Linked DNA regions of Styela clava. The protein of the gene in region 1 interacts with the protein of each later gene in a pairwise test. Links are inferred from orthologs where the notes say so. Each region holds a gene or a part of one and is shown on either strand. Other genes may lie near its edges.

What was found.
Region 2: the proteins of cysteine-rich motor neuron 1 protein-like (region 1) and zonadhesin-like interact in a two-hybrid assay, tested with the Caenorhabditis elegans proteins (2 studies listed by BioGRID). The link is inferred for Styela clava from reciprocal best matches to the Caenorhabditis elegans genes crim-1 and Y69H2.3.

Annotation. Positions count from the first base shown.
Region 1 is NC_135262.1:101,199-110,021, forward strand, and holds the start of cysteine-rich motor neuron 1 protein-like, read left to right. Parts: upstream 1-5,344; 5' UTR 5,345-5,523; coding exon 5,524-5,657; intron 5,658-8,823.
Region 2 is NC_135252.1:14,403,934-14,412,242, reverse strand, and holds the start of zonadhesin-like, read left to right. Parts: upstream 1-4,633; 5' UTR 4,634-4,710; coding exon 4,711-4,789; intron 4,790-5,211; coding exon 5,212-5,277; intron 5,278-5,540; coding exon 5,541-5,621; intron 5,622-5,969; coding exon 5,970-6,038; intron 6,039-6,174; coding exon 6,175-6,273; intron 6,274-7,089; coding exon 7,090-7,260; intron 7,261-7,641; coding exon 7,642-7,830; intron 7,831-8,099; coding exon 8,100-8,246; intron 8,247-8,309.

The DNA.
Region 1 (8,823 bases):
TATGGCGTATAAGGATTAGATATAATTTTTATCATTGAGATAGGCCGATAAGGGGGCTTATATGATATAACTATATTTTTCAAAAATTCAGGAATATTGCCTAAACTTCAAAGAGGTCCCTTTGGTCGAGTAAAAGCCTAAGGTCAGTAAAACAACGGTTGATATATCGGCCAAACATTGATTATCTCAGAGAGTTATGAAACGAACAATCGTTTTTCTGATCGAGATATTTTTGCTCATTTATAGCCCGCGATACTGAGTGTGTGTGCGATTGCGCTTGCGCATGTTCGCACGCAAGAAAAGAATTCCGATTCCGACAAACAACGATCGTCAGGTGTTGAGTTCGGGTGTTTGTGCGAAATTAAAAATTTATTATGTTCGGAGAGAGTGTTCGCAGGGAATTAAGGAGATTAAAACGGCGATAGCTTTAAGTGAGAATTTGTGTAATATAATTTGAATAATTTGTGAGACAATACTTTGTACGTTACGTACAAGTTTGTTCAAAGCAAGGTCCTGAAGATTAGAGAGCGTACCGAGTGATAGACCAGTTGGTTCACCGGCGCATTCTATGGGTTATCATGTACTCGGTATAGATCATATAAGACAGCACTTTTTAAATACAAGTTTGAGCGCTCCAGAAGTGTGTCTACCGATATAGAGGTACCTAATTCTGTTCGCCTACTTTACATCAAGTTATGTAAAGGGACTGAAGCCTATGGGCAGGGGGTATATTCACTTGGCTAACACAGACAGTCACCGAACTCGTAATAGAACTAAAATAGGGAAAATCGGAATAAAATTATGGCCTAACCTGGTACACACACTACCGGAAGTACCGAAATTTGATCAAAGCAGAGTCGCTTGAATAAAAAGTTGGAACAGCATCAATTGAATTGCGACGCACTAAGGATCATAACAGGGGTACACTCGTGACAGTAAATAATATTAGACAATAATTTTAGATATAAGTTTCAAGGTCCCAATCTTTCGGCTAAAAAGGGTATGGAGTAATAGGGATTGCGACCGTCGGACGCATCATGAGTTGCATATAGGCTTATTTGTTCTGGTGACGGAGTGACTGACATATATAATATGTGCGTTAGCTTAAGGCCACGTTTCCCGACCAAGGAGAAATTTTGCTTCTTATTTGCTGTGGTATTACTAATATCCGTTAATTCATTATTATTACTATGATACGTATTTGTGCGCACATTATAAACTGTATAAAAGCAGGAGAGCGAATTGCCCATAACACAAGCAAAGTATCCATAAAAGATTGACAAACAAAGTAGTTTTTATGGGTAAGGAGAGAGAGAGATTATTTCATTTTGTCAAAACAAAAGAACAGTATATGCATACGGTAACCGTGCATTTGAGCCCACGTACATTTGAATCCATGTGAATATCCGCGGGTTCAATCTATATGCGGGTGCTAAAACCCATGGGGTAGCGTTAGTATGGGTTCAAATATCCGCAAAACAAAACAAAATTTCATAGGTACAATATAATCAAGTGCAATTGTCGTAGGTTCAAATGTATCGTGTGTAATACATGTATCGAATAAACAGATGTTTTCGGTACATGAAAGGGAGGCAACGATACGACCTTTGGTCATTAGGTCCTTATGGTCATTTGATCATCCATCAGAGTGAGTTGCCAGCCAATTAAATTAAGGATTTAATAGTTCCAAAATAGGGGGAAATATACGAAAAAGGGTGAAAACCGCTAACATTTCACAATAGAAAGTAGCTTTCCATACCGAACAATGCGGAGATATCCAGCCAATGTATTATGACAGTGGTCAGTTCGTTGGTATCAGAACAGGGGTGGGCAAGTATTTTGAACCAGGGTCCAAAAATTTTGCCCACCTTGACTGGCGGTAAGCGTGCCGTAAAATGTACATTTCATGAACAATATTTACAGTGTTGCAAAAGTGGAAAACAATAAGCCTCGTGCCAAAACTAAATTTAATCGCAATCTCAACAAATGCAATGAGCTATTTTTTAGGTAAATCATCAAAATTTAGTTTTATTTTTGTTGTGGCAGCATCAGGCGGGTCAGAATAAATTACCCCACAGTCCGGATGTGTCCCGCGGGTCGTAGTTTGCCCATGTGAGTATTAAACGCTCAGATCTCGTTATGTTGTTCTGTCTATTTTTGTGCTCGGTCCGGATGAAATGTGCTCCAGATATTTTATATTTTCGTTGTTATTCGCGAACAATATACCGTTTTGTTTGTTTTTCGTTGTATTTATTATGAAACAATCAGAGTAATCGGAATTAGCTTGTTTACTTGTGTGTTTTAATCTAGTAGCAATCAGAGAAGTGTCTCTTGTTGTGAGATGTTGTTTTTAGTTTTAAAAAAACTGATAAAACAGTATTATCATGTAGCGAACACGGCCTCTCGTCCGGTTAACAGTCCATGCCGGGTACAAGGATAGCAATCCTGTTAATTGTTTGCGATGCATAACTTGTGCTAGTCGTAACTAACACATTCAAAACATTCAAGCTTGTCACAATGATAAGTGCTCCATCATAATGATCGCATTATGATCTCACACGTCGATCCCTCCCTGATTTCAAATTATGCAAATTATCTCATGAGACTCTCTGACGGTGGTCTTTCAATCTCTGTGATGTAAATAAAAAAAACTATGAATAAAAAAAGTTATTTAATAATCGGAGTCATTATGGCGTTTTTTCATCGATATGATAACTATAGTCGTAATTCCAGCGGACACAAGTGGACCGGATGAAACACTTCGTTAGGCCAGATGGGCCGTAATTTGCCCATCCCTAACTTCGATTGTTCTTGCTCAATAGCTGTCCAGGTAGAGTCCCGATAGAATGAGGAAAGAGCTATGATATGGTAAATTCCACAGAACTGAAATCTTTGGGGAAAAAAATTGGCCAGGTTTTCTGCCGCAATTGATACGTCAGGAATTATTTATAGTTCTGTTGAGATATCAACGTTCATAGTGTAGATGGACATGGGAATCGCCATAATATGCAAAAAAGTTTTGCTTATACGACACACCCAATTTATGTCTGACTTACCGGTAGGTCTAGGCTTTGCGGGTGGTCTATAGACTCAGTTGGTACTTTGAGGCGGCGATTTGTTGTCCTGTTCGTTGCACAGCGATATATAGCAGTCATGTATATAGAGGCAGATGGTAATTGATGGGTCAGGCTGTATTGGCATCGGTTATGATGGCGCTCCAGAAGTATGTGTATCAATATGGAGGTAACTAATTTTGTTCGCCTATATCATATCAAGTTGTGTAAAGGGACTGAAACCTATGGACAGGGGGTATATTCACTCGGCTAACACAGACAGTCCCCGAACTTCCAATAGAACTAAAATGGGGAAAATCGGAATTAAATTATGCAGTATGCACTAATCCTAACCTGGTACACATACTACGGGTATACCGTTATGATATATATAGGACATATGAGGCAAGATTCGTGACCGCGTATTCGTTGCATGATATCCATTTGTTGTCACATCCGCTGGAGGACAGAATGACATATTCTTGAAAGGAGATAACTTTTGTGCAAATCGTCCAAGATTACTAAAACTTTCGGCTACGATCATGCATAAACAAAAGTTCAAGTGTTGTTTTTCTTCATTTTCATAGAATATTTTAGAAATTTGGGTACTACCGAAGTATGTGCACCAGGTTAGGGTTAGCCATAATTTTATTCCTATTTTCTTTGTTTAGTTCTATTACGAGTTCGGGGACTGTCTGTGTTAGCCAAGTGATTATATCCACTGCCCATGGATTTCAGTCCCTTTACACAACTTGATGTAAAGTAGGCGAACAAAATTAGTTACCTCCATATTGGTACACACACTTCTGGAGCGCCGAAATTTGTGCGTTCTATTTTCCCAGTTATTACTCATCGATCTTAAGATCGGTAAGTATGTTGATAGGTATTTGTTTGTCTGCCTGTCTGTTAGATGCACGCGATATCTCACGAAAGCAAGGTTTAATCTGCTCCAAATTTCGCATGTGCATATATCATAGCTCTGATCAGGAGCCTATTGATTTTCGATGAATTATGTCGTATAATTAGCGAGTTATTAATTAATTAGTGATGGGACACACGGTGTCACTATGGAGTAAGAGCGCTGTTTTGGGGGACCCCCTAACCTCCGATCGATAAGTCTCCGGTCTCCGACCGGTATTCTCGTTTCGTGGTTGCCAATTGTCTTAGATGCAGTGTTTTCGCCGGTGTTTGTTGGGAGGTCTACAAATCCGTGTTCCATAGCTTTTCTCCCCTAAGTATAAAAGCCCTAGTAGCAATGCACTCTAGCGTTTTATATCTCATTATGTTGTTGCATTGTTTCGTGACTTGGGACCTAATAAGCGATTAAAATATCGTCCGACGTAATTTGATTAATATATAGTGACATCACTTTAAAGATTTCTATTTTGTTCCATGACGCCATATACAGCTGTTCGCTTTGATTATTTTCTCATAACTACAAAGATATTGTTTATGACATTACAAATAGATTATGCTTTTACTATGACGTACACAATATCCTTTCATCAAACGTAATGCTAAGTGAAATACATTAATTGAATGAATTCGTCAGATCGAGTCGCGTCGTCTTCGCCTTATTGAAAGTTTTCTGTTTTCCCGTGCTTAGTGATTATGAGCTTGGAAGGCTGTATTTTTACCGATTTATGTCTGGCAATCTATGAGGTTACAATTTTGCGACGGAGTGGAAAATTTGAAGTTAAGTCAGAAAGGCCATTTTCCAGAAAATGCGATTACAATTATATTTAAATTCAAATGTCCAAGTGAAAGTTTTCCGTCTTTGAAGGGAAATGACTTTGTCGTCTGTGGCTATACAATATTTCTTTTGATTTTGTGCATTGATATGTGTGAGTGTACGATTATTTGGAAAATGAAACGTATGTGTCTTAATTTTGTTGCCCGGTAGGTCGTTTTGGAAAAATTGCAATTTATGTTATGATAAGTTATGGAATGCGAATTTATTATGATAAGAGTATCTCCGCTACCAATTTATTTCTATTTGAATTGACTTATCGACGTAAGATATGCTCGGCCCCTCTCAATTGTAGGTACATTTTAAATAAAATCTGACGCCTCTTGAGCGGAAGGGAGTCCATTTCTATTTGATTTGACTTATCGGTCCAAGATAAGCTCTGAATTGTAGGGCAGTTCCCAAACGCCATCCACGTCATCACAACTAGCTGAAGCCTAATTCCGATGGTAACCCAGGTTATCGAACCCTCCAGTCTATTCAAACATTCCCTCTTCCACATGTCTGCCCGTAGTCTCCTCCTTCCATGCTAAGTTAAAATTAAGCTTTCATTTTTTCTAAAGCATAGCGATATACAATATAGTATTGTCGAAGAATCAGAGACCTTTACGACATCCGGAATATTTTTGGAATAAACTTGGATGTAACGTTAGTGAGGTCATCAATCAAGGATTACGTCATAAACTTATTACGTCTTCGCAAACTTTACTATAAAATCGAGACATGGAATACATCGTTATGATTTGCATGTTACTGCTAGCTTCGACTGTCCATGCCCACAGCTGCCTCCCGTGCGACAAAGAGAAATGTCGGATTCCTTCCAACTGTCCTGGTGGATTGGTGGAAGATGCTTGCAGGTGAGTGTTTCATATTGCGCATGAAGTTCATATCGCCGCAGTAAATCCTCACCTTCTTCTACATCTGACATGGGCAAATCACGGCCTGCGAGCCAAATCCGGCCCGTTGGGTAATTCAATCTGGCCCGCCTGATGCTGCCACAACCAAACTAAAACCAAATTTTGATGTTTTAATTAAAATAACTCAAGGAATTTGTTGATATTGCGATTAAATTGCGAGACTTATCGTTTTCCACTTTTGCTTTTGTAACACTGTGAACATTGTTCATGGTATGTAACTTTTTATGTCATACATACATTGCTCGCCTGCCCAGATAGGCAAAATTTTCGGCAATTGGTACAAAAACCGTGCCCGCCTCACCTGTTCTACGGTTTTATTTATGGATGAAGTGAATATATGGATGGCCTATTATTAGGGACCGAATATGAATGCGGATCGTTTTGAGAAAATTGCATTTCGAAAATTTCAGATCTGTACAGCCTAACCCAAAAATCCACATAAAGCACTACATCAAAACTAAAACAGGTACACCCTTGAAACCCAAACAGAAAGATGGTCCCTGATCCATAATGACAGGAAATCCAAGTCATTTTACCAAAATGTGAAATGAGCTACTACGGATTTACTGCGACGATACTTTGTAGTTTGGTGCCAAATTTTCAGTGCTAGAAGGCTAATATTTTCATTTTTCCAACTGGATGAAGTGGACATAAAGGTGGCGCATTAATGGAGACCGAATATGAATGCGAATCGTTTTGTTGTTTGTTGCTAGAAAATCGCATTTCTCAACAATCGATTTCAGTACTTAAGATGGACCAATCGACTATCAGAGTCACCCAAAACTTGCTGTTGCATTTTAATTCTTGGGAACAATGTTTTGACATTTGACCTCCGCGTTCATATATTCGAGCACTGCTCTACTTTTGCAGTGAATTATATAGGAATCCGTAGTGAGACTATTCGGTATTCGCGTAATGTGTGTACCGGGTTAGGGTCAGGCTATGATTTTATTTCGATTTTCCTTATTTTGGTTTTATTACGAGTTCGGGGACTGTCTCTGTTAGCTAAGTGAATATAGCCCCTGCCCATAGGTTTCAGTCCCTCTACACAACTTGATGTAAAGTAGGCGAACAAATTTAGTTACCTCCATATTGGTACACATACTTCTCGAGCGTCGCCTATTCACCATTTCATGAGTTTTATCAACCAACCAAGTCTCGACGCTCTCTTCAATGTGCCGTCGAATCCAACCTCAGTTGAACTTTGTTGTCAGATTATTTCCAAGTTTGATGATATTTCTCATATTATGGATTTGAAGTCTGACATTTTTTTAAATATTGTGTTGTTTAACCCAAAAAATATCTGCCATATTTGCAAAGTTCATCTTTGCAGAAAATTTTGTTTTTTTCTTCGGCGTTTCGGGATTTTGAACCAAAATATCAGCCCGTTCAATTCAGATTGAGAGGCTTAAGATTGACAATCTTCACCTTAACCTTCTTAACGCAACCAATCTTTTCTCCGCTCAACTATTGAATGATTTAAAACATCAGTAAACATCGGGTTAAAATATTTTCTTATGCTCTGTTTAGTAAACTTTCGTCTTCAGCCCGAGGCTACCTCGCTTTATGACGAAATAGTTAACCCATTGTTTTCATAGCGCGTTGAATTGTTGATGGCGGACGCTTCCGAACCGACCCAGAATTGTTAATCTCTATGTAAAGGTATGATGTAATAGAAGACACTCGCTCAATTAATATTCCAGATCGACTTTGTTTTCGAAAATCACTCTAAGCCGAGAGTGAATTCAACAATTTTGGGGTAAAATATCGTAAATTTACAAATATAAAAATATTTTAAGCATCCTAGTTTTTTCACGGACCATTTTTAAGCCAACACATATCATTTTCTAATATAAAACTATGCCAGGGGTAGGCAAGGTTTTTGAACTAGAGGCCAAAAACCTTGTCGCCTGGACTTGCGGGCCATGTAAGTGTGATGCAAAAAATTACATTTTATTAATAAAGTTCATAGTGTTACAAAAGCAAAATTGAAAAACAATAAGCCTCGTAACGAAACTAAATTTAACCGCAATCTCAACAAATTTCTTTAGCATTTTTCAGCTAAAACATCAATTTTAGTTTTAGTTGGGTTTGCCCATGTTAGATATATACCACGATAAATTACGGCACTATATAATGAGTAAAATATTCACGACCTCGATTCGGGCCCAGAGTGAATTCAACAATTCTGGGGAATATACCGTGTTTCCCCGAATATAAGTAAGACACGGTCTTATTTAAATTAACTTTTGGAGGATTAATTCTGGAGGATATATTAATTTCATGTGACGCTACTCGCGTCATCCGAAAGGCAACCACTGGTAATACACGATACACAGGAAGATACTATTTTCGAAAGAACCGGAAACTTTCTTGTCCAGCAATTCGTACACCATGGGTGGCATTGATGATTAATCCATGAACGTGAACAAGGTTCTTGGGAAGTTTTTGAAACTTAGTATTTTGCGTTTGAAAATATCCATGTATGAGATCGCCTGGCAGAAATCGATCAAGCAATTTTATTTCGGTCGTTCTGGCATAAAACAAAACAAAGTAACGACATAGCAGAGATACCTGGAAAGCGAGTATAACTTGGAAAAAAGTTTAAATCGTACAAAAAATACGCTCGAGTATTGCATTTGTATAAGTGTGCAGCGAAAGTATTATATCACTTAGAACTTATATCATTTGCCTCTTATTAGTTGTGTATGTGCCACTATGACTGTGGTGAAAAGTATGAATTATATTTCCCAATAATTCCGGCAATTTACCTAGTATCGTAACAATTGCAGCTTTACGCAATTTTGGACGTAGTGCAAATGAATAAATGTGTAAATTAGGAGCCTTGTAGGGCAATAGCGGTAATGTCCATCATGCAAAGGTGTCGCAACAACATGAGGCGCCAGCTCGCACAGAAGATAACGAACAATGAAAGTGCCGATAGTATCCATCGTCATTACAATACAGTACGTGAAAAAGTACGGAAAATCGTTTGAAGATTTCCCGCAAAAACAAAACACCTCGCTGATGGCGAAAAGTAGCTATTCGGAATTATTCGAAAAGGTACTCGAATACTTTGATATTCGATTCGTTTTGGACAACCCTG
Region 2 (8,309 bases), on another chromosome or scaffold:
TGGAAAAACATATCCTGCCATTTTACCTCTGGGGCATTCGCATTTGGCCCTTATCAAGTCTGTCATTGTATCAACACTACAAACGAATTTCTAGAAAGATCAGGAACTGGTAGCCTATTGGTGTTTCATTTTTCGATGGCAATGGTATGAATTTAACTGTTTAATAAATCAAAGCCTTTCTTATACATATGAGCATCATATTACTGTATATAGTGAGCCTCCTTGCACTAAGTTGATTTTTGTGCAATGAATAGGCAAATAAATTCAAACATAGTTTTTTGTCTTTTTATATAACAATTTTCATTGTTTGGAGTGATAATGATATAATTGCGAGCTTCAGGAGAGATTGATAATAAATTTAACTTCTTCTGAGCATTGAATATAATATGAATCTACCACTTTGCTAATGGAATCATTTTACCCCAGAAGATCAAGATATAACATATGTAAATATGTTGACTTCTCACTCAACTACTTGTTTGCATTTTATTCAAGCTATGCCATTTTTTTTCAGTCGAATTGTCAAAATAAACAGCCAGAGAAATCAAAAAGTGCAAGAAAAAATGACAGGGGCCACTGCAATGTTGAATCTACCTCAAATGGTTTCCACCTATTTGAAGAGATGAAATGAACTATTTTGCTGGCGGAGACAATCACTTCTCGAGTGTATTTGATACTGTTTCGTTGCTAATATTTGATCACATATTCTATTAAAAGTGATTTCTTTTCAATTGTATTTCATTTCTTCAGGTGGTGGAATGAGGGTTAATCGAGTTACTTTGCGGATGTTGTTTAGTATTACAACTTCTTCTTGTAGTTAAGGTTAGCATCGCTATGGCTGTAAAAATCGGAGACATCCAACCCACTGCTTTGCCTAGTACATACATTTGGTTGTAAAATTACAACCGCTTGCAACGATCCAATACATCTGAAGTTGTATATGGTGTTTACAACAAAGTGCATGGCATCGCTGCTGCCGCGCGTTTGGTTGTAAATCGCCCCTAATATTTTTTACAGTGTACCCACTCAAATGACAGCTGGGGGATGGATACTCTTAGTATCTGCTTCATCGCGTGCCTCTTACAGTCTTACCAGTTTACATGAGTGCCAATTGGTATCTAAGCTCAGCCAGAGACAAAAAGTTTCAAACTGCAGTTGGCGTGACGAAATGTTTTTAAATATATATTCTACAATAAGATTATTTGAATGCATACTACTGTTTTTTTTTTATTTCGTTAAGACGCTTGTTGTTAAATTTAACATTCTCTGAAATGCTTAATGGGCAAATTCACAATAATATAGGAATACGGCTTTTTGTATCTCACCATATTTAAATAGAAAGTTCTTGCACAATCTATTTCATAAAATTGTTTGAATCAATTTCCTAGCTGTGATGCCGCAAAAAAGATTAAAATCTTACGATATCATTTTTTGCGCGCAATTTTAAAACTGTATTTATTTATTAGCTCGAAGCTTTATTTATTTGATGAACAGATCTAATATATTCACTTTTTTCAGCGATTATTTATTGCCTTAATAAACACATTGCACCATTGGTATTTTGTTCCTGTCTATAACAGAATGTTGAGCATAAGCTAATACTAATATATCAAATCATGTATAGCCAAATCCGTAATATAATATTAACCTGGCGGTCTTGGATTAAATTTGATTATTTGTGTGATTGAACTCAAGTAATGACATAGACTTTTGTATATATTACGTATATTGTTTCGTGGCCATTGGCATTTGCCAGACCAGCCTAACCTTTTACGTCTCGCAAGCCACTTTCGCATGACAAAATTAATTGCTTGCCGCAAACGTGTCTATCAAGCTTTAATACCAGTCAAGTTCGGAAATACGTAAATGTTCACATATTGCATCAAACACAAGTTTATTTACATAAAATCGATCAAGTCAATATTCAATTACGGGTTACCGAGTAGGTCTGGGCAAAATATTCGAATTGGTGTCGGATATTAAAATAGCAGTTTACGAATTCAAAAATCTGGTAAATGCACGTGAACAAGGGACGTCACCTGCTCGTTGTTGAAATAAAGACTTGGATTGCACAATGCACAATCCGTGGATTTTATCACCCGCATATAGATTGAACCTGCGGATACATCAGTTCAAATGTATGGGTTCAAATGTACGTGGGTGCAAATTTCCGGTCACCGCACTAAAATGCATACAGAAAAACACAACGAATCTCGGAGCCAGTAGCAAAGTTATTGTTCATTTTTTATTTTACGTTGGTGATAAGAACGATCAAAGCCGACACGAAAAATAGTAATCAAAATGAAATTAATTTGTAAACCTAGGTTGAAAATTATTTGCTATAATTGTACTCAGCGTTCGTCGCCAATGATTGCTCAATATATCTTCCGAGTTCGTGAAACAAACACAACACATTATTAACCATACCCGCAGTCTCGTGTTGACAAACGAGTTATATTGGAATTTCCTGTTTTTCATTTCGTTAATTAAGACGCTTGTTGTTAAATATAAAACTCTCTAGAATGCTCAATGGGCAATTTCACAATTATATAGAAATACGGCTTAGTTCTATCTAATCATAATTAAATAGAAAGTTTTTGCCAAATATATTTCATAAAAGTGTTTGAATCTATTTGCTAGCTTGTAAAGCGGCGGCGTAAACTATTACGTATATGTAGTATTTTCATTTAGTTATCTCACAAAATATAAATCAGGAAATACACGTTATGGGCGATGAATTGGAGTCATCGAAATCATATTGATCTAGAAACTGTGGTTAAAGAGATTAAAATCTTACGATATCTTTTTTTGCGCTCAACGTTAAAACTGTATTTATTTATTAGCTCGAAGCTTTATTTATTTGATGAACAGATCTAATACATCTACTTTTTCCAACAATTTTTATTGCTTTAATAAACACGTTGCACCATGGATATTTTGTTCCCGTCTATAACAGATTGTTGGGCATAAACTAATAATGATAAATTAAGTCATGTATAGCCAAATCCGTAATATATATAGTATTAACCTGGCGGTGTTGGATTAAATTTGATTATTTGTGTGAATAAACTCAAGTAATGCCATAAACTTTTGTATATATTTCCTGTATTGTCTCGTGGCCATTGGCATATGCCAGACCAGCCTAACCTTTTTATTGCTTGCCGCAAACGTGTCTATCAAGCTTTAACACCAGTCAAGTTTGGTCATGGACATTCCCTTTCGTAGGCCGTGATGTGACTGGTTGTAAACCATCATCTATTTCTGGGAAGAAATGAATGTGCCGGTGATTTTGTGAAGAAAGCTTGTAATCGGGAGTTTCAGCCTGTTGCCTAATCAATTCTAGTTAAATATTCTGTTCTAGTTAAATATTAACAATATTAAAACTCGTAAACAGGTCGAATTTGCTTTAATTGAACGCATTAAATCTACACGATTATGTTAAAAGCAAAACGTTTTTTTCAATATATAAATCGCATATTAATCAGGACAAAACTGCATTTACTGAATGAAAGATTTTTTTCATAACTCTCGTGATTTGCAACGCAATTGCAAAAGTATGCAATGAATGCAATATTTTGCACGCTATATTCGCCAGTTCATAATTGATTAATCGGGGAATTTACGATGAATGTCAAGTGTTATGTAAAGACAAAACTAAGTTCAGACAATGCGCCAATTTCACGAATTTCTAAAAACGTGCACGAAACAAACTTTCGAAACTTCCAAAATTTTGAAAATTGAAGTTGACTGATAGATTGATCTGGAAATTGAAAACAGTTTGGTATAGAATAAAAACTGCATGAATACATAGTATAACCAAACTTCGGTAAAAAATTCACTCGCCCATTGAAATCACATCAATATTAGCATTGTGAATAACGCCAAGATGCCAGGTCTATAGTGTTTGTTTACTTTTGTGACGGAATCCTAATTTTAGAAATAGAGTTGCTTTAAAATCGTAGAACTATACTGCGTGGTAATATTCACGCTGATCGGATGTGTACAAATGTGTTTTATTGTGCATAATTTCTATCTTAAAAGGGCAGTGTCTAACAAGGTCGATAAAAAATGTTTTCTGAGATCTTGTTCAGAAACCATCAAATTGCACATCTCAACCGATAGGCGTTACAATGCCAAATTTGAGGTTAGCTTTCCTTGTAATTATGAAACCTTCCCAATAGATGTATTTTTACAAAAGTCTATTAAGTTTAAAATTGTAACTTGAAATTAAACTTAAAATGTTACATCGAAGCAATCGAATTTAATCGATAAGTTTAAAATCTTTTCTCGAGCAACAATACCTGTGCAATCAACAATTTTAAAAAAAATAGTGAAGTACTTGTCATATCTTTGTAACTTTGTGATAGTAATGAAATAGTTGATCAAAAAATGGTAGAAAAAGGATGACATGATTCGTTTCAGTTATATACATAAGCATACTCGATTATTTTCTTTAACAAGAAAATTTTCAATGAATTATTAAAGCAATTACTGTATAATTCACGTGAATGACTGTTATTTTATTACAGCAAACAAGCTGAAAATTTGATTTAATCAATTTTGCAAACCGTGAACTTAAATCATATTTTTAGATTAGTCAAGGAGGAGAAAACAACTGTCGCTTTTCCTATAGGTATATATAAATGTAATTCGCGTGTTGAAATCATTAAACTAGAACTTGTTTGATACTGAGAGGTTCATATTGCTAATATGGCCTCCATTTTATCGAGTTTGTGTTTGACGAGTTTTGTATTTGTCACCGCGTCATGCTTATCAGTTGACAAATACGGTAAGTTGAAAAATAGACATAAATGTAACATTAATTTTGTTGTATTGTATATATCATTTTTTACAAATTTATCATTTAAAGAGACAAGTAGTGTATTGATATATTATCTTTTTCATATTCACAACACGTTATTTGAAACAGTGAAAACATTACTGATCATAGAATAAAATATGTCAGAAAACAGTGATAGCTTTGAAATACATCCCATAATATTATTGTAATAAAAAACATTACAATGGTGTTAATTGAGATCTGAGAACGCAATATAATTGAAATGAATTTATTTTGTCTGAATACCTTCCGACCATTTCATTGGCTATGCTTGCTGATATGATGAGAATATTGTGTCTACTATATACTAAAATATTCAGGCATAAACAGCGTTTTTTTGAGAATAATTTTCTACCAAAATTATTTTTCAGTTCCCCCGTGTGAGGTTACTGGTTGTCCACCTCATAAACAATGTGTTGACGGAAGATGTATCGATCGTAAGTTATATCTGTATAGGTGTGGAAAACTGTCAAGTTAGGCAATTTTCACAGTACTGGTTAACAATATATTTAAAAATTGTATACTTTGTCAAAAATGATAGAAATGATAAAAAATTTACGTAATAAATTATGTGTGTGCTGTTCAAGCGCGTATAAGGGTACATCTGCATACTAAGTGATTTCTTATTTCAAAATAACGTAAAAATACGAAAGAAAGAAAATATCATGTTTATTTATTACTTTTTAAAATCTTTTTTCAGTTATAGCCATCGGTATACCACCTGGTGAATGCTGGCCCCCGTGCAAACATACGGAAGACTGTCGGTTTGGCGAATGCGTCCGTACGTATACAATTGCATATTCTCGAATTTTAAACAATTTCATTATACAATAACAAATGAATGTCTTTTCAGTGAATTCTCATAAAGAGCATGTTTTGGGTACTATTATAATTAGAATCTCCAGATAGCAGTTCAGGCGTAAACATCCTTTAGGTTATGTTATAGGCTAGGATACAGTAATCACCAGAAAAACCAACATATATAGATATACAATGCTCATGTTTGAAATTTGTTAAAATATGTAATTTTGTTAAAGATAATTTTGATAATATAAATGCACTTTCCGCACGCGATAAAACCGTTGCACAGTATTACTTTTGAATAAACAAGACAACACTCCATATACAGGAAGAAGTACTTCATGTGCAGCAGTTACATGCATTGTAGGACAGATATGTATTGATGGAATATGTGTTGGTAAGTCTATGAGATATTAATGTTATAGTCGAAGAGTTTCATTTTTGCTGTATATAGTTTTATTGTTATTCTGAATTTGCTTTTATTTGATTTAAGTGAACAAGTGCAAAATTGCTTGACTTCCGTTCGTTTACAGATCCAAATACGTGTTCATCACCATGTGCGTCTGGTCAAGTATGTAAAGATGGTAGATGCGTTTGCAGAAGAGGAGACTTTTACAATGGAAGATGCGTCAGTAAGAATCATTAATATTTTACAATTTAATTTTTCAATAGTTATTGTAAAGTGAAAATATATCAACACATTATGGCCATACGTAACATTACCCCTTCCAAAACTCAAATGATTTGGAAAGACTTGAGTAATAACTTAGTTACCTTTTTGCATGTGCTCGATTAATCTAAATGTCCATGTGCACTTTTATGTATAACAGTATAAAAATTGAATATTTTCGAATACCTGATAAATGTAGAAGTATATCAGAAATGTTTCAGTTCTATAATTAGTAACAACCATGATTTGAACCTACTGTATAGATCGCAACTTTTTAATTATAACCTGCGTTTAACCCGATTTGAGGTTTTATCAAATACCTCTGAATCATATTTAAGTTGATAATATTTTTGTTATTTCAAGTAAACATGATTCCGCAGGTATCTTTGCTAATATATATATAAGAACACGACTTCTGTGACGTTGTCTATCCCTGCGGGCAAATCATTTCTAATACAAGTAAATTTCGCGTTATATATTTCATTGAAAATATATACATCAATATCGTCAATAAAAGTCATAACCCAACAACATATTCCTCTGGAATATCAAAATATCAAGTTTTCAAACTAATATTTCTCCGTCAATTACGAGTATGCTTGTCTGTTTGATTCCATCGTGATTCGTGAATTTACCTCGAAACTTTTTTTTCTATGAAATTTATTGTTTCTAACACAATTTTCCAAAACGAATACGTGATGTCGCTGCGTTATATTAGTTTCTCATTTAACGATAATAATCTGTTATCATTATCACCTACGAATGTTTTGATTTCCAGCTTGTCCTCCCGGTAAAATATTCAAACCATGTTCGAACTGTCCACCGACATGTGAAAAACCATTTCCGCAAGCTTGTACCAAGGAATGTAAATTGGACAGGTATTGTGTGTGTCCTGATGGGCTGCTGGAACACAATGGTGGATGCGTGAAACGACACCAATGTCCTACTAGTAGGTTCATAGATTATGTTCTAGCAAAGAATATTAAATAAATTAAACAATCGTTTTAATACATATTTTGGATACATAAAATGTACAACAACACCCTAAGCAGACATTTTTATTGGTGAAAATTCTATGATACTTGATATCTGTAAAAACACTAAATTTCTTAGTTATATCCTCTAATCACTTGCTTAATTTTATTGAAGTATGGCTTAGTATGTATTTTAACTGCATTTGTCTATCTCATTTAACATGAACAAATGAGCTATTAGAAAAGCATTTTCCAGTCCAAACTAATAAATCCATTTGCTTTATCCATTTTTAGCGTCGTATAGAAAAGATTCATATAATTGAATTTACTTATAAATTGACTATTATGATTTTCAGAATGTGGGTATGGTGAGAAACCTACCGCATGTGCTTCGTTTTGTGTGGGCACTTGCAAAAACCCAAATCCCGAGATTTGTGCCCCCGCCTGCGATCCGAATAGAAAATGCGAGTGTAGAAAGGGATTCGTCCAAGTTAGCCAACATGACACTAGATGTACTTTGCTACAAAACTGCCCTCGGCCGCAACGTAAGTAAAATATTATAAACTTGAAACTTACCAGTTAACGATTCAATTTTCTGCAATGTCATAAAAGTTGTGGTTCAGGCTCATAAATAACTATGAATGGAAGTTAATGACACTATGGAAAGTTTCAAATTGACTGTGAAAACTGAATTATCACTATGAGGTAACGTTGATCATTCAACGACAAACGGCAAACTATTCATTGAATATGAATGACTCTGAATCACAATCAATACATATTTTAATTTTTCTTGATGTTAAATTTTTTTCAGTGTGTAAAAAAAATTGTCCGCCTGGAAGTGATTGTATTGACGGAAGGTGTCAATGTCGTAGACGATGTCCCCCGAACGAACATTGCCCAGATGGGATATGCGAATGTCTACCAGGACATTACAGAAAAAAGGGAGTTTGCGTGTCATGTAAGTGGCTTTTATACTCTCCAGGAAAACCAAACTTGCTAGTTATAATTATAACATCAAAAC